Linked DNA regions of Lonchura striata. The protein of the gene in region 3 purifies or fractionates together with the protein of the main gene of each other region. This does not show direct contact. Links are inferred from orthologs where the notes say so. Each region holds a gene or a part of one and is shown on either strand. Other genes may lie near its edges.

Region 1 (7,469 bases), on a different chromosome or scaffold from region 3:
AGATAATAAATCCAATCCTAGAAAGTTCAGGATAAATTCTATTCTTCCTGAAAACACCCAGCAACTCAGCTGCAGAGCTTGTGACATGGCCATGCCTGACAATCCAAACCTACACAAGAGCTTCAGCACTGACATGCAACCCTTCCCTGGAAAAAGCTGGGCAGGTTTGACACAAATTATACACTGAACAGTCAGTGATACTTTTTTGATACTATTATGCTACTTTTACATATTAATTTTTGTTACCTGATTACATAAGCAACTATCTCTAGTCACAGAAGATGCTGTAAAAAGTTTTATTGCTCTATTTTGGACGTTTTCCTTATCCTGCCACTCAGTTATAGAATCAGCATGCTGAAAACCCAGTCTACAGCAACAGGTAAGAACAATAGTTCTATAAACCACATCTTTCAGAGTCCATTTATTAAGACAAACACTCTTCCTATAATTAAAATCAAAGCTCTACAAATAAAAAGTTTGACCCAACTTTTTATACAGAGCACATAACACTGGAGCAGAGACATCAATAATACACAGACTTCTCTCTCACATCACTTGGAGTTAACAGGATCAGATATTTACAGGAACATGCTGAGCTCTCCAGGAACACAACAGAAAAAAAGATACACACCTCTACACTTCCTAACCCTAATAAATCAGAGAGCAGCTAAGAAAAAACTTCTAAGTAGAAGCATCAACTACTTCTGTCACCTACTTTAAAATGAGGGATTTTTCAAATTCAACTAGCATAGCCAGGACACATCATCAAATTAGCCCACTTGCTTTAATAAAATTTATACTAGCAATTTTTTTCATCAGAACAGCTCCTTTCACAATACACATGCTGTGCAGCACAGACCTTGTGTCCACAATTCCTATTTTATAGTCTTTGAATTCACAATACACCTGGGTGGTTGCAGTCACAGTTTTAAGCACTTCATTTCTCCAGCTGTTTAATAAAAACACAACTGTATCTGCCTATCCCATGAACTCCAATTCAGGATGTGGGTTTGTTTTTTTTTTTTTTAGAATCAGTTTTGTAAACCTGTCAAGTGTGACAACTGAATACAAAACAACTCCCCTTGCATGCCTTCAAATGAAGACAAAAGAAGTCTTTGATCATGAAGTTTGCCTCATTGACACACCAATCACCTCGTCCATGACACTGAATTCCACAGACTCCAGAAAGGCTCTTTGCTTCTTACACCTGCACAAGCCACTAAGAGCAAATAAACACAAACCCGTAGAAAAGTTTAGCTTGATTTCTGAAGAGATAATATTTTCCTAAAAGCTAACACTTTTAAAGGACATAGGTGGAAATTCATAAAGTTCACATGTAGAAATTGTCAATGAATAGGTGCACTGGTTTTTATAATCGGTTATCAAAGCACACAAACGACACAAAATAATTATGCTCTCAGCAAATACTACACAATGCCTTCCGTACCATTTTTGCAAATAGTCCAGTGCCTCCAAACGAGCACCAATCTCAAATGTGATTCCAGGACGATTTGGAGGCTTTTTACTCATCTTGATATTCTTTTTCACCACCTTTGAAGGAGGGAAAAAAAATAGCATTAAAACACATCATGTTGTTTAAAAGGTGTCATAGACAGCAAATATATTCCAGAGGGTGTAAAGATGCAAAATTTTGATCCTGAGTTTGTATTAACTACTTACCTTACAGAAATACAGTCAGGGAAAAAAAAAAAAAAAAAGGCATCAAAAAACATTCATACATACTTTTATTCAGATTTCTTTCCCTTCAAAACTATATGTTATCAACCTTAAGTCAAAACATAATAAGAAAAAAACCATAGTGCTCATCTCTGAAACTATACTAGCATGTAATTCCTTCACATCATTTTTAAGCCAAATTTTAATTTACCTATAGTTAATATGTGTGCTGTCTTCCGGTGAAGAAAACGCAAACCAAGAAAAACGTACCTTACCAAGAACAGATAAACATGGCCTAAAGGGCAAGTAAGATGAAATTAGCATAAATAGAAACAAACAAAACCCCATCTTGAGTATTTCTATGCACTCTGGAGTCGCACTCACAGCAATGAGTTTCAGCCACAACTGGCTTCTAATTTTATTTTGTAGCCCAGTCACTATAAAAAAAAAAAAAACCAAAAAAAACCAACTCTTTGTGCAAGTACCGTGGCGGAGCTCCCTGTGCCAGCCCAGGCGCACTTGCCGAGCGGGAGTGCCGGGACGCGGGGTCGGAGCCTCCCAGCCCCGCACTGCGGGGGGAGCGGCACCCAGGGGCTCCTCCGGGAGCGCGGAGACGCCAAGGGCGCAGCGCAGCCGGCCCGGGAGCGGCGGGCCGGGAGCGGCGGGGCCGCAGCGCTCCGCGCTCCGGGGGAGGCCCCGCCGGACCCCCGGCCGCGGGCGGGGCCCGGCGCCAGCACAGCCGCGGGCGCCGCCCGCCAGGCCCGGCCGGCTTGCGGGAGCGCCGGCGCCTCGTAGCCCGCGCTCCCTCCGCATTCCCTCCGCATTCCCTCCGCGCCTCCCCCGCGCCGCCGCCCTTACCGCCCGCTCGGCTCGCTCGGGGCCCGGCGCGGCTGCCGCGGGCGCTCCGGCACGGCCGCCCCTCACCGCCCCATCCTGCCCGCGCCCCGCGCGCGTCACCGCCGCGCGACGGCCCCGCCCCCGGCACGTGACTGCGCGGGGCGGGGGAGCCAGACAAAGAGCGGCGGCCGCGGCCGGGGACGGCGGCAGCGGGACACGGGGACAGCGGCACCGCCTCGCCACCGGCACACACGGCACACACGGCACACACGGCACACACGGCACACACGGCACACACGGCCTCGCCACCGGCACACACCGCCTCACACCGGGCACGCACCGCCTCGCCACCGGCACACCGCCTCACACCGGGCACGCACCGCCTTACACCGGGCACGCACCGCCTCACACCGGGCACGCACCGCCTCACACCGGGCACGCACCGCCTCACCATCGGCACACACCGCCTCGCCACCGGCACACACCGCCTCAGCCCCGGCACACACCGCACTCATCGCCTCACCACCGGCACGCACCGCCTCACATCTCCTCGCCACCGACACCGACGCCTCAGCCCCGGCAGATACCGCCAGCCCCGCCGCACAAATAGCGGGGAGCGAAGGGGCTTGTCCAGCGGGGGGAAAGGAAGGTGTTTAATTAAAGCACCGGAGCATTTCTCGTACTGACAAGGGCTGAGGGAGTTGCAGCTCTTCAGCCCCACAAGAGGCGGCGGAGAGGGGACCTCGTCCGGGAGTTTCTGCAGGGAGGTGTCCAGAGGATGGATCACGCTCTGCTCGGTGGTGCCAAGTACGAGGACGAGAGGGAAGGGACAGAAACTGATACACAGGGAGTTTCAGCCGAATAGGAAGAACTTCTGTGTGCAGTGACCCTAGCCTGAAATACTGCCTAAAGAGATGTGGAGTCTCTCCCCTGATTCAAGTGGACACAATCCTGTGCAATGCGTGCTAGAATGGCCCTGCTTGAGCAAGGAGGTTGGACCGAATGACCCACTGCTGTCCCTTTCCTACCTGACCAGTTCTGTGACTCTGGGATCTGTAATTCTGTGATAGGGAGAAAAAGACTCAGGGCAGTCACTGAGATGGTCCTGGAGGTGCCACAGGACAGTCCTGGCCAGGCAGCAGCCTCACAGTGGCCTGTCTTTGCCTCTTGTTTTTTACCCATGAAACCAGCTTCATCTGATTTTCTTGCTTTTAATCATCCCAGCCTCCCCACCATGCTGCTGAGAGCTGGGTGGGTGCTTGGCAGCTGGTGAAACAGCCCACTGCTGTCCCTGTGACACCCAGTCTTGTGGTGACTGCTGTGCTGCTTATCACTGTGTTCTGCTCTGCCTGAAAGACCTATGATAAAGGCAATGACCATGAGCCAAGTCTGGCATTTAGCCCCTGCATTGCTGCCATCCCAGTGCTCAGGGAACAATTTCATGGAGTCTTTCCTTTTCTTCTCCAGGACAGATGTTCCCAAGCTTGTAATGGCAAGATCAGCATCATCACATCACCATGGATGTGATCAGTAAAACAAATGTCAAGTTTCCACCAATTAATAAAAAGGCATAGTGTATTTCTGGAAACTGCACATTCTGGATCATAGTCAGCTTGTGACTCCTTTCCATTAAGTGACCTTTAAGAGCTTTTTTCAGTGTATTGAGTTTGTGTGGCAAGACCTTAGTAGTGGGGAGTTTCTGCGAGGAGCTGCCAGAGGCTTCCCCAATGTCCACCAGAGCCAAAGCCAACTGAGATCCACCAGTGGCCAGTGCTCAGGCCATCAGTGACAGTGTTTTACCTCTGATGGTAACTGGTGAGTGATCCTTAGGAATGACCTCTCCTCTTGCCCTAGAAACCTTTTGTTACATTTACTCTCCCCTGTCCATTTGGGAAGGGCAGTGACAGAGTAGCTTTGGGGGGCACCTGGTGTCCAGACAAGGTCACTAAACAGCAGCAGGACAGACAGGACAGTTTGTATGGTAGCCCTGGGACCTGTCCAGAGAGTACCAGCTGTGAGAAACATGCTCTGTTCTCACGTGGAACCTCTGGCAGAAAACCTGTAAAGATCCAAGGTTGACCTCTAGGGTTCTGCAGCTGAGGGTGTCAAGGGTCTGAGATGTACCAGATGTTCACAGGACGGGGCACCTCTACACATAATGCAACTGAAGGTTCATGGAATAAGGAGGTGGGACTGATCACACAGTGGGCTCAGATGAGGACTCCCACTGCCCTTGAATGCTGAAAGAGGTCACCATTGAGCCAGGAGGCAGAGATTTCAGAGCATCATCTGAGGAGGTGGCTCAAGCCCAAAAGTATAATAAATAGCAGAAAGTGAAAGGCAATATGCTCAGTTTACTAATGTTTCCTGTTGCACTGTGCAAAACCATCTGATGTGGAAAGCTACTGGTTGGAGCACAAGTCAAGGGCCAAATTAATTCATTTGATTTGTATGGATGTTTGGGGGATGCCCCACAGACTAAGGGAGCAACATCTGTGCACGTGTCACTGGACAAGGACGGGGATAATGACTGATGGTGATGTTGATAACACACCAGGGTGGTGGATGCTGCTGAATAACATTTCCACAGTGTCAGGGCTCACTATTTTTTTTCCCACTCATCTTCCCCAGTAAGTAGGTAAGGGGTGGGCAAGAGACTGGGAGGGACAGAACTAGCACAGTTGACCTAAACTGGCCAAAGGTATATTCCATACCATAAAACATGGACCTCAGCAAGAAAATCTGGGACAGAAGAAGAATAAGACTGGTGGGACATTTTCTTCCAAGGTGACCACTGCTGGGAGATGGAGTGGTATAGGTCTGCTGGTGGGAAGTGCTTAGTGCTTGCCTTTGAATTGCTTGGAGGTTTTTTGGGTTAGGTTGTTTGGTTTAGGGGTTTTTGCTTTCGTTTATTAAACTGCATTTATTATTAGATCATGCAGATCTGCAAACATTTCTGGGGTGCTGGTTGACAGTGACTGAACACAAGCCAGCAGTGTGCCAAGGAGATCAATGGCATCCTGGTTTGTATCAGAAATAGTGTGGCCAGCAGGACTAGGGAATTAGATTGTCCCTCTGTACTTGGCACTGGTGAGACTGTATCTTGAATCCTATGCTTAGTTTTGGGGGCCCCTCACTGCAAGAATACACTGAGCTGCTGGAATGTGTCCAGAGAGTGGCAGTGGAGCTGGGGAAGGGTCTGGAGCACAGACCCTTCTGATGTCTGAAATCAGATGAACAGCAGCTGAGGGAGCTGGGGGTGTTCAGCCTGGAGAAAAGGAGGCTCAGGGAGGACCTCATCACTCTCTACAACTCCCTGAGAGGAGACTGTAGCCAGGTGGGGTTGGTCTTCTCCCCTAGGCAACAAGTGATGGGACTTGGAAAAGGCCTCGAGGTGTGCCAGGGGATGTTTAGATTGGATATTAGGAAAACATTCTTTACAGAAAGAGTGGTCAGGCATTGGAACAGGCTGCACAGGGAAGTGGTGGAATCACCAGTCTTCAAAGTGTTCAAAAACACGTGGATGTGGCAGTGGGGGTCATGGGTGAGTGGTGAACAGAATGGTGCTGGGTTAATGTTGGACCCAATTGTCTCAGAGTACTTTTTCAACCTCAATGAATCTATGATTCTCACTTTTGTTTTTCCCATTCTCTCTTCCCTACGCCACTGCTGGGGGAGTGAGCGAGTGGCTGTGTGGGCGTTTGGCTGCTGTTCAAGGTCAATCCATCTGCTTCATTTAGTCCCCAGGAGGCTGCCTCCCACTTGAGGAGTCTTTATAGACAGACTGTTCAGTAGAATATTTTAGATTATTTGCTAAGATATTTTTTTTTTCTCCCTAGATTTTCCCTTGTTACCATTTTCTGGAAGGTGGTGACAAACAGAAGAGACTGAAGAAAGAAGGAGGCTTGAAGAAAAACAAAGGAAACAAAATAAGAAAACAAAGAAGGGAAGGAAAGGGAAAGGAAATAAGTTTTATTTCTTTTTTTTTTAGTAAAATTGCCATTGCATTCATTTGAATTCTCCATCTCATACTACTCTTGGTGTAGTTTTGATGCAATTTTTGATTTAAAGGATTTGGTACAGGATAGTGAAGGTTGTTGTGTAAGGAACGAGCTCTCTTTTAGCAGCAATGAATAAGCAGCATTAAGATAATTAGAAAAGTGGAGGTTCTTCTGTCCAAGGAGAGGGAATGGGGGAAGATAAGAGGCCATGAGGATGGAGCTGGGTACATGGGTACACTGAATGATGCTCTTGACCACTGAAGGCTGAGTAATGCCATGGTGAGGGATGGGCTCAGAGCAGTGTGTGGCACCCTTAGCATCACCTCGCTGCAGAGGCTGTTGAGAGGGAGGCAAAGCTGGCAGGAGGTGGCAGAGGCACAGCAAGCCCTTTGTATTGATTAATATGTACTAAAAGCACATCTGTGCACACAAAAGAGCACAGGAGGACAAACCCAGGAGCAACCAGCCCATCAAAGGCCCATTTCCTCAAGCTCAGAGGAGCACAGGGACACAGGGCGGTGGGAGCCAAATTAAAGACTTAGAGGAAGGGACACCTGATGCAAGGTTCCATGTGTGACTCCTACCACACTTCAGAACAGCAGAAGTCCACTTGTGGTCCAGCAGCACATGGCATTATTGTCAAAACAATTATGAAAATAAGGAGCCCCAGGCACTGTCCCCATTTCTTTGCTGCCATTTCATGTATACCCATCCCTGCCCTGCTGTAGCCCACAGGCACCCACCACCCCTGTTGGCCCTGATTTGCCTATCCCAGTGCCTCCCTAGCTCTGCCCATGGCCCAGGACCCTGTTTCAGCTACACTATTCCACCATAAAGCCAGCAAGGAGCAATTTAGGTCAAGACATTTTTTATATTCTTTTAGCACAAAATCATATCTGATATTTAGTTTTGTCTCTGAGGAAAACAAGGCCTAAATGGCTGCATTTCCTTTCT
Region 2 (7,580 bases), on a different chromosome or scaffold from region 3:
TTTCTATGTTTTTTATTTCCTTAATGTGGCTTTGGCAGCTTTTGGGAATCCAGTTGGTTCCAAGGAGTTCCTCCGTCCCGTCTGGCCGCTGAACTCAGCGGGGTGCTGCCCGGATTGAGGATAGGGAACCCCCTGGATACCCCCAAACCGGATCATCTCAGGGGTCACCAAGATTGTTAATAAATGGAAATTTATTCAGCCAAATTAAAAATAAAAATAGTTTTATTAGCAGTCAAATTCTATCTAGCCAGCCATGGAAAAAACAGTGCCGAGCCTGGGATCGATGCTGGGTGTGCAACAAGGAGTCAGCCTCAGGAGAGGTTTTCCCCTATGCCCACACACCTCCATCCTGGCACAAGTGGTTTTTTATAGGGAAAATTCCACCTAAGGCCAAGATTTCGGCAATCAGTCTTTTCTTCAATTCAGAGTCCATAGGTTGATGAGATTTTCTTTTTTGGTGATGAGAAGAACAATTCAGTGTCTGGAGTTGTTGAATCCCTTGATGAAATTTACGGGAACACTGCATTCACATGGATCTGCCCAAGGATTTCCATGATATCCATCTCGGGTTGTTCACGTGATAATCAGCACCTGGGCATCCCATATCTTTCCAGACATGGCCCATCTCCTGGCCGAGCCACATCCTTTTACGTGTAAATCGGGTTTCAACATACACCAGATTTTGCCTGCGAGGGTGGGGGGGGGCTTCTAGTACAAACGAGTATAATCTAACAAGTATCCAATATTACATATTTCATACAAGGAATGGAACAAATTATGTTTTCTACACATAACATAGATAAGAATTGATCCAGCCAAATTAAAAATGAAAAATAAAAATCTTATTTTATATCTAATTCTCTCTGAGCCAGCCACAGGGAAAAGGACAGTGCCAAACTGGTGCTGGGTGTATGACAGGAAGGACGCCTCTTGGCAGAGGTTCCCCTGGACACCCACACCACCCTCTTGGACCAAGCAGTTCTTATAGGAAATTTTCCACCTGAGGCCAGGATTTTAGCAATCTGCCTTTTCTTCCCATTCAAAGTCCCACATGTTTATAAAGTTTCTTTTCTCTCTGTTGAGGTTGAACAATCCAAGTCCAGGTGTGGACAATTTTCCTTGATGGAGTTACAGGAACGTGGCTTTCAGATGTATCAGCCCGGAGGACTCCAGCGATCCCAATATAGGGTCGTTACTGGGATGATCAATGCCTAGGTGTTCCAGTATCGCCCCAAGGAACAATCCATCTCCAGGCGAGCCAGAAGTATTAAACTGTAAATGAGACTTCGGTTTTTGGTGTAACAGATATGTGTGGGGGGTGGTGGGTAGGTTGTAGCTCTTGGTGCTGGCGTGTGTGCTGGCAACAACAAAATATTACACATATAAAGTTATATTTCCATGGACCAAATATAACAATGTTACATTGGCACAAATTATAGTCAACATATATGTCAATTTTTTCTGCATTTTTTTTCTCTTCTAGACACCTGCCATATTAAGACCACTTCTGAGATTTCCAGGTTAAAATGTAAATCTAGACTGAAAACTGTATTTTCAACCTTTTTTTTTCTTCCTGTTGCAGTATTTTTAGCAGGACACTCTGCTTCCACAGATTCCCAGCACATAGTTCACAGGCTCTGTCAGAAAAGCACTACTGCTGTACAGTGATGGGGACACTCTAGTTTAAACTATCCTGTGTGTTCTCTGGGTCCTGCAATGCTTGTGACACTGGGCTGAGGCTGATGTCAAAGAAGCAGCCAGATTTGTGTAGCAACAGCAGTTCCCACAGCTGGGGGAGGAGGAAGACAGAAGGGAAAAGCACTTGGGCCATGTTGTGTCTTCCTCCAAAGCCCACAAGCACCTGGCACTATGTGGACACCTTGGCCACAGCAGTTACTCTTTCAATCACAAAACCTGATGGGCAGCAACCCTCTGCTGGTCTGTGGCCTCTGAGCAGAATTTCAAGGATTATCCCAGGAAACCTACCTGAACCAGGGAGAATTTGTGCACCCACAGTGAACCACTGTAATATTTGACATTAAGAATTACAGCATACATAGATTTTTGTTCTTCTGTGTCAATCTGGTTTGGGCTTTAACCCAGCATGAAACTATCAAAAAAAGAAAATGAAATTGTTATAGATGAATAATGAGATGATTTGCTCTCGCAATTAAGGGATGACTATTGTGTGAATATTAAGAAAAGCTTTAATGATGTATAGTGTTGCATTGTGTTATTGAGTTTGTTCAATTTGTGAAGTGGTTTAGTCTTGCACCCCCATGTAAGTTGTCCTGCCTTCCCTTGCCTCCTCCCATCCCTATGCCAATCCTCCTTTCCCTCCTCCCCTGAAAGGTAACCCTTCTGAAGAGCCCGCCCCTGGACCCATCCATCACTCAGCAGCCCTTCCTTTCTTTCTAGAAGGTTCCACGTGGGACGTGGAGTGATAGGCCTGACAGCCAGGTCTCCTCCTACCCTCCTTTCCCATTGGTGTTCTTTCATGTTTGTCACCCTGATTTCCGCAGCCCTGTTTGATCTCATTGGCCCACTGTAGGGCCATCCTCTGGTTACCACCCACTGTTATAAACCTGTGTGAGAGGCTGCACGCTGCTCTTGCAGGCTGTCTACCCTCTGACTTAGGAAGCTCTTCTGAGCTGCCAAATAAAGTTGGGTTACAAACCCCTGCATGAGACGACTCCTTGCCTTTGTCGTCACCGCCAAGGTCTCCCTGGGGTTCAGGAATTTGCCGTCCTTACGTCCCAAGGTTTGGGAAGGTGGCCCGTGCTGACCTCGCTGTCCAGCTGAGCCAGGCACACATTTCCAGGGCAGATACTGCAGCAGTATAGTTATGTTATTGTAGTTTAGATGTTGTGAAAAAAGCATATTTATGATTGGCTTTTAGCAAATGTTACAATGAATATTGTATGTGTAATGTTAGAAAGTTATGCTGTATTAATTCTCTTACGTATTAAGTGTAGTTTTAGGTTACAACATAATGTTAAAATAGAGACTATGTATGTGGGGGGGAGTTTTCTTTTTAGGAATGAGATACTTGCTTCGAGGAGCACCTAAATCTTCCAAAGGAGAGGAATTTATGGCTTCTTATCAGAAGAAGCTAATTTCTTCAGGCCTTGCTCAGACTTGAAGATGCCAGGGGATTAAAGGGAACAGTTGACATACAACAGACAGAGTTTCTTGTTTAGAATAGAATGTATGCATAACCATAAAAGATGTATGAATATGCAACAAGTGTATTGTTTTAAGGGTGATTCCTTTGTTCACAAGTCATGCTTTTCGTGACTTAGTGTCTGAGAGCATCCGGATGTCCATAATTCTTTGCTTTTTATTGTCTTGTAATTGTCCTAACTCTAAACTTTATTACTCTAATTGTATTATTATTTTTATAACCATTTTATTAGTATTAAACTTTAAAAATTTTAAAAACCAAGTGATTGGTGTTTTTCACAGAAGTCCTCTGTTCTCCCCATAGTTCCCTTTTCCCCCCTCTGTAATGTTGCCATCAGACAGCCTGGGTTGTTTAGGTCAGGTAAAAAGAAGGCGTGCACATCTGCCTGTTCCATGAGGCAGCTGGGAATGGAAAAGCTTGTTGCTTAGGGGGTGCGGCATGGCAACACCTGACCTCCAATCCAGTTACAAGAAAGCAATCTCCGCCATCAAACGGCAAAGAAAAGCTGTCTGACAGACTTGGGGAGGGACCGGGGTTGGCTGATGCAAACCCCCTCCCAGGAGTATAAAAGACCTAGCATCCATCTTGAAGATGAACCAGCCATGTGGTACTCTTGAGGGCTATTCTCAGCGCTGTGAAGTTTTCCTTATGTAGACCTTTTGTTTTATTCCTGTTAAGGTTTAATATACCTTTTAAATTTTCAAAGTGAACAGTTGTTTTTCACAAAATTAATTTACCCCTGAATAATTCTGTTATTCACAGCAGACCCCAGTCTTCTGGCTGTACCAGAAGGTGAACACGACTGAGGGACAGTGACGACCCCCTCGGATAAGCACCCACCCGCTTCCCGGCACATGGGGCACCAGCGGAGGGAACCGAGCCTAGCCGGCGGTGGCTGCGACAGCCGCGGGCGAGTGTGTGCAGGAGCGCCCGCATCCCGACACCCGCCTCAAGGGGTCAGGCCGCCAACTCTCGCCAGTATTTCACCGTCGTGCCACCGCAGCACTCGGGCTGCCTGCAGAGCACGATGGCAGCGCCGCGCTGCGGGCCGAGCTCCCCGCGCTGCGGGCCGAGCTCCCCGCGCTGCGGGCCGAGCTCCCCGCGCTGCGGGCCGAGCTCCCCGCGCTGCGGGCCGAGCTCCCCGCGCTGCGGGCCGAGCTCCCCGCGCTGCGGGCCGAGCTCCCCGCGCTGCGGGCCGAGCTCCCCGCGCTGCGGGCCGAGCTCCCCGCGCTGCGGGCCGAGCTCCCCGCGCTGCGGGCCGAGCTCCCCTGGCAGCACCGCCCGCCCGGGGCCGCTCCCCTCAGGGTCTCTCGCCGGGGCCGCCAGGCCCCGCCCCCTGCGCGCGCCCTCTGGCCGGAGTGGGCGGGCCTCTCGCGGCCCCCGCCCCCAGCGGCGCCGCATCGCGGCGGCCATTTTGTGCGGCTGCGGTTGGTGGCGCGGGGCTTGGCGCGCCGCGGGCCCGGGCGGGGTGGCTCCATTCTAACCCCTTTTTCCCGTACAGATCCCTCGGTAAGAGCGCGGCGGCGCCCGGGCAGGCCGGGCTGCCTGCCCAGTCCCGCGCTGCGAGCCCGCGGCTCGGCGGGGAGATGCGGGGAGGGAGGCCGGGCGGGCGCGTCACCGCTCACAAAGGGCCGGGCCGGGCCGGGCCGGGCGGCGCCTCCCGCCTCGGGGCGCCGAGCGGGGCCGCTCGTGCCTCGCTGCGGCCCGGCGCGCTGAGGCCCGCGGCTCGGGCCGGCCTCGGCCGCTCCCCCGTCCGTGGCTCCCCCTCGCCGCCCGCGCACGCCGAGCTGCGCGGGCAGGTGAGTCTGTGCGGGCCGAACGCAGTCGCCACGGGCCCGTCCGGCGGGGACGGCCGAGTGACCTTGCGGCGGTACCGGGGCCCGAGCCGGGGCACGGGCCGCAGGGCGGGGGCAGTGCCGGGGCCCGAGGCGGGGATTTGACGGGTCCGGGGCTGTGTCCGGCGAGCCGGGTGCGGCGGCGAGCAGGGCCCGGCGGGTCTGGATTCCGGGGTGCTTGGCGAGGCGGCTGTGCGTGACCCGGGAGTGGGGAACCCGCGCAGAGCAGGTACTTGCCCTGCTGATGTGCCGCGTGGCTTCCGTACCGGCGGCTGGAGGCTGGAGGCTTCTGTTCCTTTTCTGTCCCATTAGATGTAGAGCATTTCTTTATCGCGCTGCATTCTGTTCCTTTAAACCATTTAAAAGAACAGAAATTGCGGTGGATATTTTCACTAAACCCAAAGCTGCCTCATGTCATACCTGTGTATTGCGTACGGTTAGGAGACACTGTGGTGTTCTTCCTAGCAGGTCTGTGTTCAGATACGGCTTTTTGCCAGCAAAGTGGATTTTTGTACCAGTTGGTAATCTGTAGCCATTCCGGGATTTAGTTAATCTAAACAGGTACAGTTTTGACAGACCGTTTTATGTCTTTTATTGACTAACAATCAAAGATGTTTCTGTGGACCCAGGCTGTTTCTACCCTAAATACTTAAAAATAAGTCAGGAGAGATACCTGAAATTTTATGAGTCCAAGTTAAGTAAAATAAATATCACTAGGCTACAGAATTTTGTTGTGTTGTATGCAGTAGGGAATTAAATGAAATGCTAAAGCAATAGTGACTTGAATTAACCTTTTGCAAGTGTCTGTACAGCAGTTAGTAATGGACCATCTCTGCAACTAATGCTTTTGACCTGGGTTCATTTAATTTTCTATAATGAGTAAGGATCCTTTCACAGAACCAGTTTCTAAAAGAAGTCAAGCAAAAAGACTTAAGCAAAGATGAGTCATAGTATAATCCTCTCTTTTAGTTTTTGTGTGACTTCTAAACTTTCATAGTAATAAAGGAACGTGAATTAGATGATTGCATGTTTTTTGAGCTAAGTCAGCTTGTGAAGTAGTTCAGTAGTTTACGCTCTTGCTGACAACTTCGTGGATGTTTCCTCAATAGAAATAAAATTTTACTTGAGCAGGCTGAGAGTAAAATCTGTCTGCCTGTAATTTTAAGGTCAAGTTGGGAATGAGGCTGGAGTATTAATTCCTCTAACTGTCCTACCTTGTCTGAAATGTAAAAAGCATGTAATTGATTCATACCTTTAATTGGCAAAGCTCTCTGTACTACTTGTTATTGCCCTTACAGTTTCTGCATGACCAGGCAATGATATTGACTTAAATTCTCCCTCTTGGCCAGGAAAGGAAAACACAACCCCTAATTTAATAGTAGAGGATGATGAATTCTCTGTAACCGCACATTTTATTTATAACTGCATGTGCAGAAGATAGGTATTGTCTGTAGCTGTAATTCAACAGGCTGACACTAGCTCTCCTGCCTGCGTGTTACTGTCCTGTCCACATGTGAGCACTTGCATTGTGAACTGAGCTAAAGAATGTACATGGGACAGGGGAAGGATTTATTGCTCAGTCCTACAAGGAGTTGTTGTCTATACAGTGTTAAAACTGTACTCTTGATATTTGTCTAGTTGAATAGATACAGTAGGGTAATTTACCTTTTAAGTAAAAAGAACAGTCCTTTGGACTGGTGCATCATACAGAGAAGTCTTGTGAAGTGCTAATGAGTTCATTGTATGTCTGAGTAAATCATTCTTTCTTTTGCTTCAATGAATTCCTTGTCTTCATACTTCATACTTTTGCTTGCCTACAGGTTTGTTTTGCTTGTACTTCCTGCAGGAAAATACTTTCTTCAGGTGAAAAATGGTGGCTTGGATCTCTTGGTTTGTCCTTGCTGTCCCAATACCAATAGCTGCATGGCCTATATATTTCTGAAGACCTTTCAGAACTACTGGCATTCCAGTATTTTTGTGACTGCAAACATCAGGCTTAAATGATTATGCATGCATGGGTGTATACTGTGTCTGTGGTCACTGGCTGAGGATAATAATGCATGTTGGAATATAAGCACACATTTCGGAAGCATGTTAGTTTGTTGACATGTCTGTGTGTCTTTTTACTGGACTGGAGAACTTTCAACCAGCCTTATTTAAGTGTAGGCAGCTACAGTCAGCCTTATTTTTTCATAAATCTACCTGAAATTGAGTTCTTAGTTAAAAGGAAATTGATTAGAAAAGAAAACGTGTCTTTAGCTTGGTAGCCTGTATTAATGAAAAGAGAGAAAGCGTGATTGCTTATTGTGCGGGGGTTTTTTTTGTTTGTTTTGTGGGCTTGATTGTTTGGTTTGGTTTTGTTTGGTTGTTTTGGGTTTTTTAATATGAAGTTAGCACGAAAGAGCTTTCCTGATCTTGTTGCTAATGTTAAAATACTAGTTTCAGAATTGACTCACTTTTCTACTGCTTAAATTCAGTACTTCTTTCCCAAGGAATTGGAGAATATCCTCTTCTTCCACAGTGTTGTTGAGTAAGGAAACTATCTTCCACACCTCTGTGCT
Region 3 (7,902 bases):
TGGTTAATTAACAAATAGGCGTGGCCTAAATCTCTGACCACACCTACAAACACTTCTGTCCCGCCCCTCATTTGCATATTCATAATTAAAAGTTTTATTCTTAATTGCGTGTGGTTGGCTGGGAGTGGGCGTGGTAAAAAAATCGGGAATTTGGGGGAGCAATATGTGAATTTTGAGGCGAAAAATTGGGAATTTCGGGGTAAAATTTGGGAATTTAGGGCTAAAAATTGGGAATTTTGAGGTAAAAAAGGGAATTTTCAACCCGAAAATTTGGAATTTTCGACCCAAAAATTGGGAATTTTTGCCCCAAAAATTGGGAATTTTCCCTTTTCCCGCCCGTTCCCGTCTCCTCGCAATTCGGAATTTAGGGGGGGGAATGGAATTTTTGGGGAAAAAGTGGGAAATTTGGGGGAAAACATGGGGAATTTCGTGCAAAAACCTGTAGTTTTTTGGGGAAAAAATGGTAATTTGGCACAAAAAATGGAATTTTGATGTAAAAATTGGGAATTTGGCAGAAAAAGTTGGGAATTTTGAGGTGAAAATGGGAATTTGGGGGGGAAATGGTATTTTGGGGGAAAAATCTGAATTTTGGGGGGAAAATGGGAATTCTGAGGTTAAAAATTGGAATTTTGGGGGCGAAAAGTGAATTTTTGGGGTAAATTGTGAATTTGGGGGGAAAATTGGGAATTTTGAGGTGAAAAAATTGAATTTTGGGGTAAAAAAGGGAATTTTTTACCTGAAAATTGGGGATTTGTCTCCTCAGAGCCATTTCCCGCTCTTGTCGGTCTCCACGGCAATTGGGAATTTGGGGAGAAAAATGGGAATTTTGGGGGGAAATTGGGAATTTGGGGCAAAATTTGGGAATTTTGAGGTGAAAAAATTGAACTTTGGGGTAAAAAAGGGAATTTTTTACCTGATAATTGGGAATTTGTCTCCTCACAACCGTTTCCCGCCCTTTTCGGTCTCCATAGCAATTGGGAATTTGGGGAGAAAAATGGGAATTTTTTGGGGAAAAAATGGTATTTTGAGGTAAAAAATTGGAGTTTTGGGTGGAAATTGGGAATTTTGAGGTGAAAAAATTGAACTTTGGGGTAAAAAAAGGGAATTTTTTACCTGAAAATTGGACGTTTTTCTCCTCACAGCTGTTTCCCGCCCTTTTTGGTCTCCATAGCAATTGGGAATTTGGGGAGAAAAATGGTATTTTGGGGGGAAATTGGGAATTTTGGGGTAAAAAAGGGAATTTTTTACCTGAAAATTGGGAATTTGTCTCCTCACAGCTGTTTTCCCGCCCTTTTCCGTCTCCACGGTAATTGGGAATCTAGGGAGAAAAATGGGAATTTTGGGGTAAAAAATGGGAATTTTGAGGTAAAAAATTGGAGTTTTGGGTGAAATTGGGAATTTTGAGGTGAAAAAATTGAACTTTGGGGTAAAAAAGGGAATTTTTTACCTGGAGATTGGGATTTTTTTCCTCCTCACAGCTGTTTCCTGCCTTTTTTGGTCTCCATAGCAATTGGGAATTTGGGGAGAAAAATGGGAATTTTGAGGTAAAAAATTGGAATTTTGGGAGGAAATCGGGAATTTTGAGGTGAAAAAATTGGAATTTTGGGGTAAAAAAGGAAATTTTTTACCTGAAAATTGGGGTTTTTTTTCTCCCCACAGCAGTTTCCCGCCCTTTTCGGTCTGCATAGCAATTGGGAATCTGGGGAGAAAAATGGGAATTTTGAGGTAAAAAATTAGAATTTTGGGGGGAGATTGGAATTGTGGGGGGAAATTGGGAATTTTGAGGTGAAAAAATTGGAATTTTGGGATAAAAAAGGGAATTTTTTACCTGAAAATTGGGATTTTTTTTTTTTTCCTCCTCTCAGCTGTTTCCCGCCTTTTTTGGTCTCCCTAGCAATTGGGAATTTGAGGAGAAAAATGAGAATTTCTGGGGAAAAAAATGGGAATTTTGGGAGGAAATTGGGAATTTTCAGGTGGAAAAAATTGAACTTTGGGGTAAAAAAGGAAATTTTGGGGTAAAAAAGGGAATTTTTTACCTGAAAATTGGGATTTTTTTTCTCCTCAGCTGTTTTCCCGCCTTTTTTGGTCTCCCTAGCAATTGGGAATTTGGGGAGAAAAATGAGAATTTTGGGGGAAAAAATGGAGTTTTGGGGGGAAATTGGGAATTTTGAGGTGAAAAAAATTGGAACTTTGGTGTAAAAAAGGGAATTTTGGCGTAAAAAAGGGAATTTTTTACCTGAAAATTGGGATTTTTTTTCTCCTCAGCTGTTTTCCCGCCTTTTTTGGTCTCCATAGCAATTGGGAATTTGAGGAGAAAAATGAGAATTTCTGGGGGAAAAAATGGGAATTTTGGGAGGAAATTGGGAATTTTCAGGTGAAAAAATTGAACTTTGGGGTAAAAAAGGGAATTTTGGGGTAAAAAAGGGAATTTTTTACCTGAAAATTGGGATTTTTTTTCTCCTCAGCTGTTTTCCCGCCTTTTTTGGTCTCCCTAGCAATTGGGAATTTGAGGAGAAAAATGGGAATTTCTGGGGGAAAAAATGGGAATTTTGGGAGGAAATTTGGAGTTTTGGGTGAAATTGGGAATTTTGAGGTGAAAAAATTGAACTTTGGGGTAAAAAAGGGAATTTTTTACCTGGAGATTGGGATTTTTTTCCTCCTCACAGCTGTTTCCTGCCTTTTTTGGTCTCCATAGCAATTGGGAATTTGGGGAGAAAAATGGGAATTTTGAGGTAAAAAATTGGAATTTTGGGGTGAAATTGGGAATTTTGAGGTGAAAAATTTGAACTTTGGGGTAAAAAACGGAATTTTTTACCTGAAAATTGGGATTTTTTTTCTCCTCAGCTGTTTTCCCGCCTTTTTTGGTCTCCCTAGCAATTGGGAATCTGGGGAGAAAAATGGGAATTTTGGGGGAAAAAATGGGAATTTTGAGGTAAAAATTTGGAGTTTTGGGGGGAAATTGGAATTTTGAGGGGAAATTGGGAATTTTGGGGTGAAACAATTGGAATTTTGGGGTAAAAAAGGAAATTTTTTACCTGAAAATTGGGATTTTTTTCTCCCCACAGCCGTTTTCCCGCCCTTTTCGGTCTCCATAGCAATTGGGAATTTGGGGAGAAAAATGGGAACTTTGAGGTAAAAAATTGGAATTTTGAGGGCAGATTGGAATTTTGAGGTGAAAAATTTGAACTTTGGGGTAAAAAAGGGAATTTTTTACCTGAAAATTGGGATTTTTTTTCTCCTCAGCTGTTTTCCCGCCTTTTTTGGTCTCCCTAGCAATTGGGAATCTGGGGAGAAAAATGGGAATTTTGGGGGAAAAAATGGGAATTTTGAGGTAAAAATTTGGAGTTTTGGGGGGAAATTGGAATTTTGAGGGGAAATTGGGAATTTTGGGGTGAAAAAATTGGAATTTTGGGGTAAAAAAGGAAATTTTTTACCTGAAAATTGGGGGTTTTTTTTCTCCCCACAGCAGTTTCCCGCCCTTTTCGGTCTCCATAGCAATTAGGAATCTGGGGAGAAAAATGGGAACTTTGAGGTAAAAAAAAATGGAGTTTTGGGGGGAAATTGGGAATTTTGAGGTGAAAAAATTGGAACTTTGGGGTAAAAAAGGGAATTTTGGGGTAAAAAAGGAAATTTTTTACCTGAAAATTGGGATTTTTTTTCTCCTCAGCTGTTTTCCCGCCTTTTTTGGTCTCCCTAGCAATTGGGAATTTGGGGAGAAAAATGAGAATTTTGGGGGAAAAAATGGAGTTTTGGGGGGAAATTGGGAATTTTGAGGTGAAAAAAATTGGAACTTTGGTGTAAAAAAGGGAATTTTGGCGTAAAAAAGGGAATTTTTTACCTGAAAATTGGGATTTTTTTTCTCCTCAGCTGTTTTCCCGCCTTTTTTGGTCTCCATAGCAATTGGGAATTTGAGGAGAAAAATGAGAATTTCTGGGGGAAAAAATGGGAATTTTGGGAGGAAATTGGGAATTTTCAGGTGAAAAAATTGAACTTTGGGGTAAAAAAGGGAATTTTGGGGTAAAAAAGGGAATTTTTTACCTGAAAATTGGGATTTTTTTTCTCCTCAGCTGTTTTCCCGCCTTTTTTGGTCTCCCTAGCAATTGGGAATTTGAGGAGAAAAATGGGAATTTCTGGGGGAAAAAATGGGAATTTTGGGAGGAAATTTGGAGTTTTGGGTGAAATTGGGAATTTTGAGGTGAAAAAATTGAACTTTGGGGTAAAAAAGGGAATTTTTTACCTGGAGATTGGGATTTTTTTCCTCCTCACAGCTGTTTCCTGCCTTTTTTGGTCTCCATAGCAATTGGGAATTTGGGGAGAAAAATGGGAATTTTGAGGTAAAAAATTGGAATTTTGGGGGCAGATTGGAATTTTGGGAGGAAATTGGGAATTTTGAGGTGAAAAAATGGAGTTTTGGGGGAAAATTGGGAATTTTGAGGTGAAAAAATTGGAATTTTGGGGTAAAAAAGGGAATTTTGGGGTAAAAAAGGGAATTTTTTACCTGAAAATTGGGATTTTTTTTCTCCTCAGCTGTTTTCCCGCCTTTTTTGGTCTCCATAGCAATTGGGAATTTGAGGAGAAAAATGGGAATTTCTGGGGGAAAAAATGGGAATTTTGGGAGGAAATTGGGAATTTTCAGGTGGAAAAAATTGAACTTTGGGGTAAAAAAGGGAATTTTGGCGTAAAAAGGGGGTTTTTTTACCTAAAAATTGGGTTGTTTTTTTTCTCCCCGCAGCCGTTTTCCCGCCCTTTTCGGTCTCCCTAGCAACCGTTTTCCCGCCTTTTCTGTCCCCTGGCAACGCCTCACTTCCGGCTCTCACTTCCGGCCCTCACTTCCGGCTCTCCCCAAGATGGCGGCGGCCGGGCCGGGCCCGCTCCCGGAGGCTCCGGGCGGCTCCGGGCCGGCCCCGGGCGGGCCCCGAGCGGCCCCGGAGGGTCCCGGGGGCGGCTCCGGGAGCGGGGCCGGGAGCGGGGCCGGGAGCGGGGCCGGGAGCGGCGGCGGAGGCGGGAGGGGCCCGGCGGGAGCGGCGCGGGACGCGGAGGTGGCGGTGGAGATCGGGGAGACGTACCTGTGCCGCAGGGCGGACGGCAGCTGGCGTGAGTGGGGGGTACTGGGGTGTACTGGTTTGTACTGGGGTGTACTGGGTTATACTGGTTTGTACTGGGGTGTACTGGGTTATACTGGGGTATACTGGGGTGTACTGGGTTATACTGGGGTGTACTGGTTTGTACTGGGGTGTACTGGTTTGTACTGGGGTGTACTGGTTTGTACTGGGGTGTACTGGGGGGGAACGGGGGGAATGGGGTGTACTGGGTCCTACTGGTTTGTACTGGGGTGTACTGGGTTATACTGGGGTGTACTGGTTTGTACTGGGTTATACTGGGGTGTACTGGGTTATACTGGGGTGTACTGGTTTGTACTGGGTTATACTGGGGTGTACTGGGTTATACTGGGGTGTACTGGTTTGTACTGGGGTGTACTGGGTTATACTGGGTTGTACTGGGGTGTACTGGTTTGTGCTGGTTTATATTGGGGTGTACTGGGTTATACTGGGTTGTACTGGGGTGTACTGGTTTGAACCGGGATGTACTGGGTTATACTGGGTTGTACTCCATTATACTGGGTTATACTGGGTTGTACTGGTTTATACTGGGGTGTACTGGGTTGTACTGCATTATACTGGGTTATACTGGGTTGTACTGGTTTATATTGGGAGTGTTGGGAATGGAAAGGAGGGGAAGTTTGTTCCAGTTTGTCCCAGTCCCTCCCAGTTTGTTCCAGCCCCATTCCCAGTTTGTCCCAGTCCCTCCCAGTTAATCCCAGTTTGTTCCAGGCCCATTCCCAGTCTGTCCCAGTCCCTCCCAGTTAATCCCAGTTTGTTCCAGGCCCATTCCCAGTCTGTCCCAGTCCTTCCCAGTCCCTCCCAGTTAATTCCAGTTTGTTCCAGCCCCATTCCCAGTCTGTCCCAGTCCCTCCCAGTTCATCCCAGTTCGTTCCAGACTCGGCCGAGGTGATCCAGTCCCATTCCCAGTTTGTCCCAGTCCCTCCCAGTTCATCCCAGTTCATCCCAGTTTGTTCCAGACTCGGCCGAGGTGATCCAGTCCCGCCTGAACGAGCAGGAGGCGCGCGAGGAGTTCTACGTGCACTACGTGGGCTGTGAGTGAACTGGGCAAACTGGGACAAACTGGGAGGCACTGGGAGGGGGCTGGGATGGACTGGGAGGGACTGGGATGGGACTGGGAGGGACTGGGATGGAACTAGGAGGGGCTGGAATGAACTGGGACAAACTGGGATGGACTGGAAGGGGATTGGGAATGGGACTGGAACAAACTGGGAGGCACTGGGATGAACTGGGAGCCACTGGGATGGAACTGGGAGGGACTGGGAATGGACTGGAAGCACTGTGAGGGAACTGGAATGAACTGGGAGGGACTGGGACAAACTGGGAGCCACTGGGATGGAACTGGGAGGGACTGGGAATGAACTGGGAGCCACTGGGACAGAACTGGAACAAACTGGGAGGGGATTGGGAGGCACTGGGATGGAACTGGGAGGGACTGGGACAAACTGGGCTGAACTGGGAGCCACTGGAATGGAACTGGGACAAACTGGGAGGGAACTGGGATGGAACTGGGAGCTACTGGGACGGAACTGGGAGAGACTGGGATGAACTGGGAGGGCTCCCAGTGCTCCCAGTTCAATGCACACCATGGGGATTTAATGGCTCTGGGATGGATGGGCTGAACTGGGAGGGACTGGGATGAACTGGGCGGGCTCCCAGTGCTCCCAGTAAGGCCCAGTGCTCCCAGTTAACCCCATACTGGGGGGATTGGGACACACTGGGATGAACTGGGATGGCTCCCAGTGCTCCCAGTTCAATGCACCCAATGGGGATTTAATGGCTCTGGGATGGACGGGCTGAACTGGGCTGAACTGGGAGGGCTCCCAGTGCTCCCAGTAAGTCCCAGTGCTCCCAGTTAACCGGCGGCTGGACGAGTGGGTGGACCGGAACCAACTGGGGATGGCTCCCAGTGCTCCCAGTTCAATGCACACCATGGGGATTTCTTGGGTAGGGAATGGACGGGCTGAACTGGGATGACCTGGGCTGAACTGGGAGGGCTCCCAGTGCTCCCAGTAAGTCCCAGTGCTCCCAGTTAACCGGCGGCTGGACGAGTGGGTGGACCGGAACCGGCTGGGGATGGTTCCCAGTACTCCCAGTACTCCCAGTTCAATGCACACCATGGGGATTTAATGGCTCTGGGATGGATGGGCTGAACTGGGAGGGACTGGGCTGAACTGGGAGGGCTCCCAGTGCTCCCAGTGCTCCCAGTAAGTCCCAGTGCTCCCAGTTAACCCCAAACTGGGGGGATTTGAAGGCCCTGGGCTAACTGGGATGTCTGGGGATGGCTCCCAGTGCTCCCAGTATGGGGGGATTTCAAGGCCGTGGGATGGGTAGGGATGGACGGGCCAAACTGGGCTGAACTGGGAGGGCTCCCAGTGCTCCCAGTAAGTCCCAGTGCTCCCAGTTAACCGGCGGCTGGACGAGTGGGTGGACCGGAACCGGCTGGGGATGGCTCCCAGTGCTCCCAGTGCTCCCAGTTCAATGCACCCAATGGGGATTTGATGGGTAGGGAATGGATGGGATGAACTGGGCTGAACTGGGCAGGCTCCCAGTGCTCCCAGTAAGTCCCAGTGCTCCCAGTTAACCGGCGGCTGGACGAGTGGGTGGACCGGAACCAGCTGGGGATGGTTCCCAGTGCTCCCAGTGCTCCCAGTTCAATGCACACCATGGGGATTTCATGGGTAGGGAATGGATGGGATGAACTGGGATGAACTGGGCTGAACTGGGCGGGCTCCCAGCGCTCCCAGTAAGTCCCAGTGCTCCCAGTTAACTGGCGGCTGGA

The links.
Region 1: the proteins of KAT8 (region 3) and PHF20L1 purify together in Homo sapiens (affinity purification with mass spectrometry; 3 studies listed by BioGRID and IntAct, with this or other methods). This does not show direct contact. The link is inferred for Lonchura striata from reciprocal best matches to the Homo sapiens genes KAT8 and PHF20L1.
Region 2: the proteins of KAT8 (region 3) and PHF20 purify together in Homo sapiens (affinity purification with mass spectrometry; 3 studies listed by BioGRID and IntAct, counting the BioPlex papers as one, with this or other methods). This does not show direct contact. The link is inferred for Lonchura striata from reciprocal best matches to the Homo sapiens genes KAT8 and PHF20.

Annotation. Positions count from the first base shown.
Region 1 is NC_134603.1:8,857,138-8,864,606, forward strand, and holds the start of PHF20L1 (PHD finger protein 20-like protein 1), read right to left. Parts: upstream 3,012-7,469; 5' UTR 2,969-3,011; coding exon 2,966-2,968; intron 2,573-2,965; exon of another isoform or gene 2,536-2,572; intron 1,552-2,535; coding exon 1,448-1,551; intron 1-1,447.
Region 2 is NC_134619.1:14,713,685-14,721,264, reverse strand, and holds the start of PHF20 (PHD finger protein 20), read left to right. Parts: upstream 1-4,569; 5' UTR 4,570-4,693; intron 4,694-6,839; exon of another isoform or gene 6,840-6,882; intron 6,883-7,511; exon of another isoform or gene 7,512-7,580. UniProt on the Homo sapiens protein: Methyllysine-binding protein, component of the MOF histone acetyltransferase protein complex.
Region 3 is NC_134637.1:460,614-468,515, forward strand, and holds the start of KAT8 (histone acetyltransferase KAT8), read left to right. Parts: upstream 1-4,847; coding exon 4,848-5,094; intron 5,095-6,079; coding exon 6,080-6,154; intron 6,155-7,902.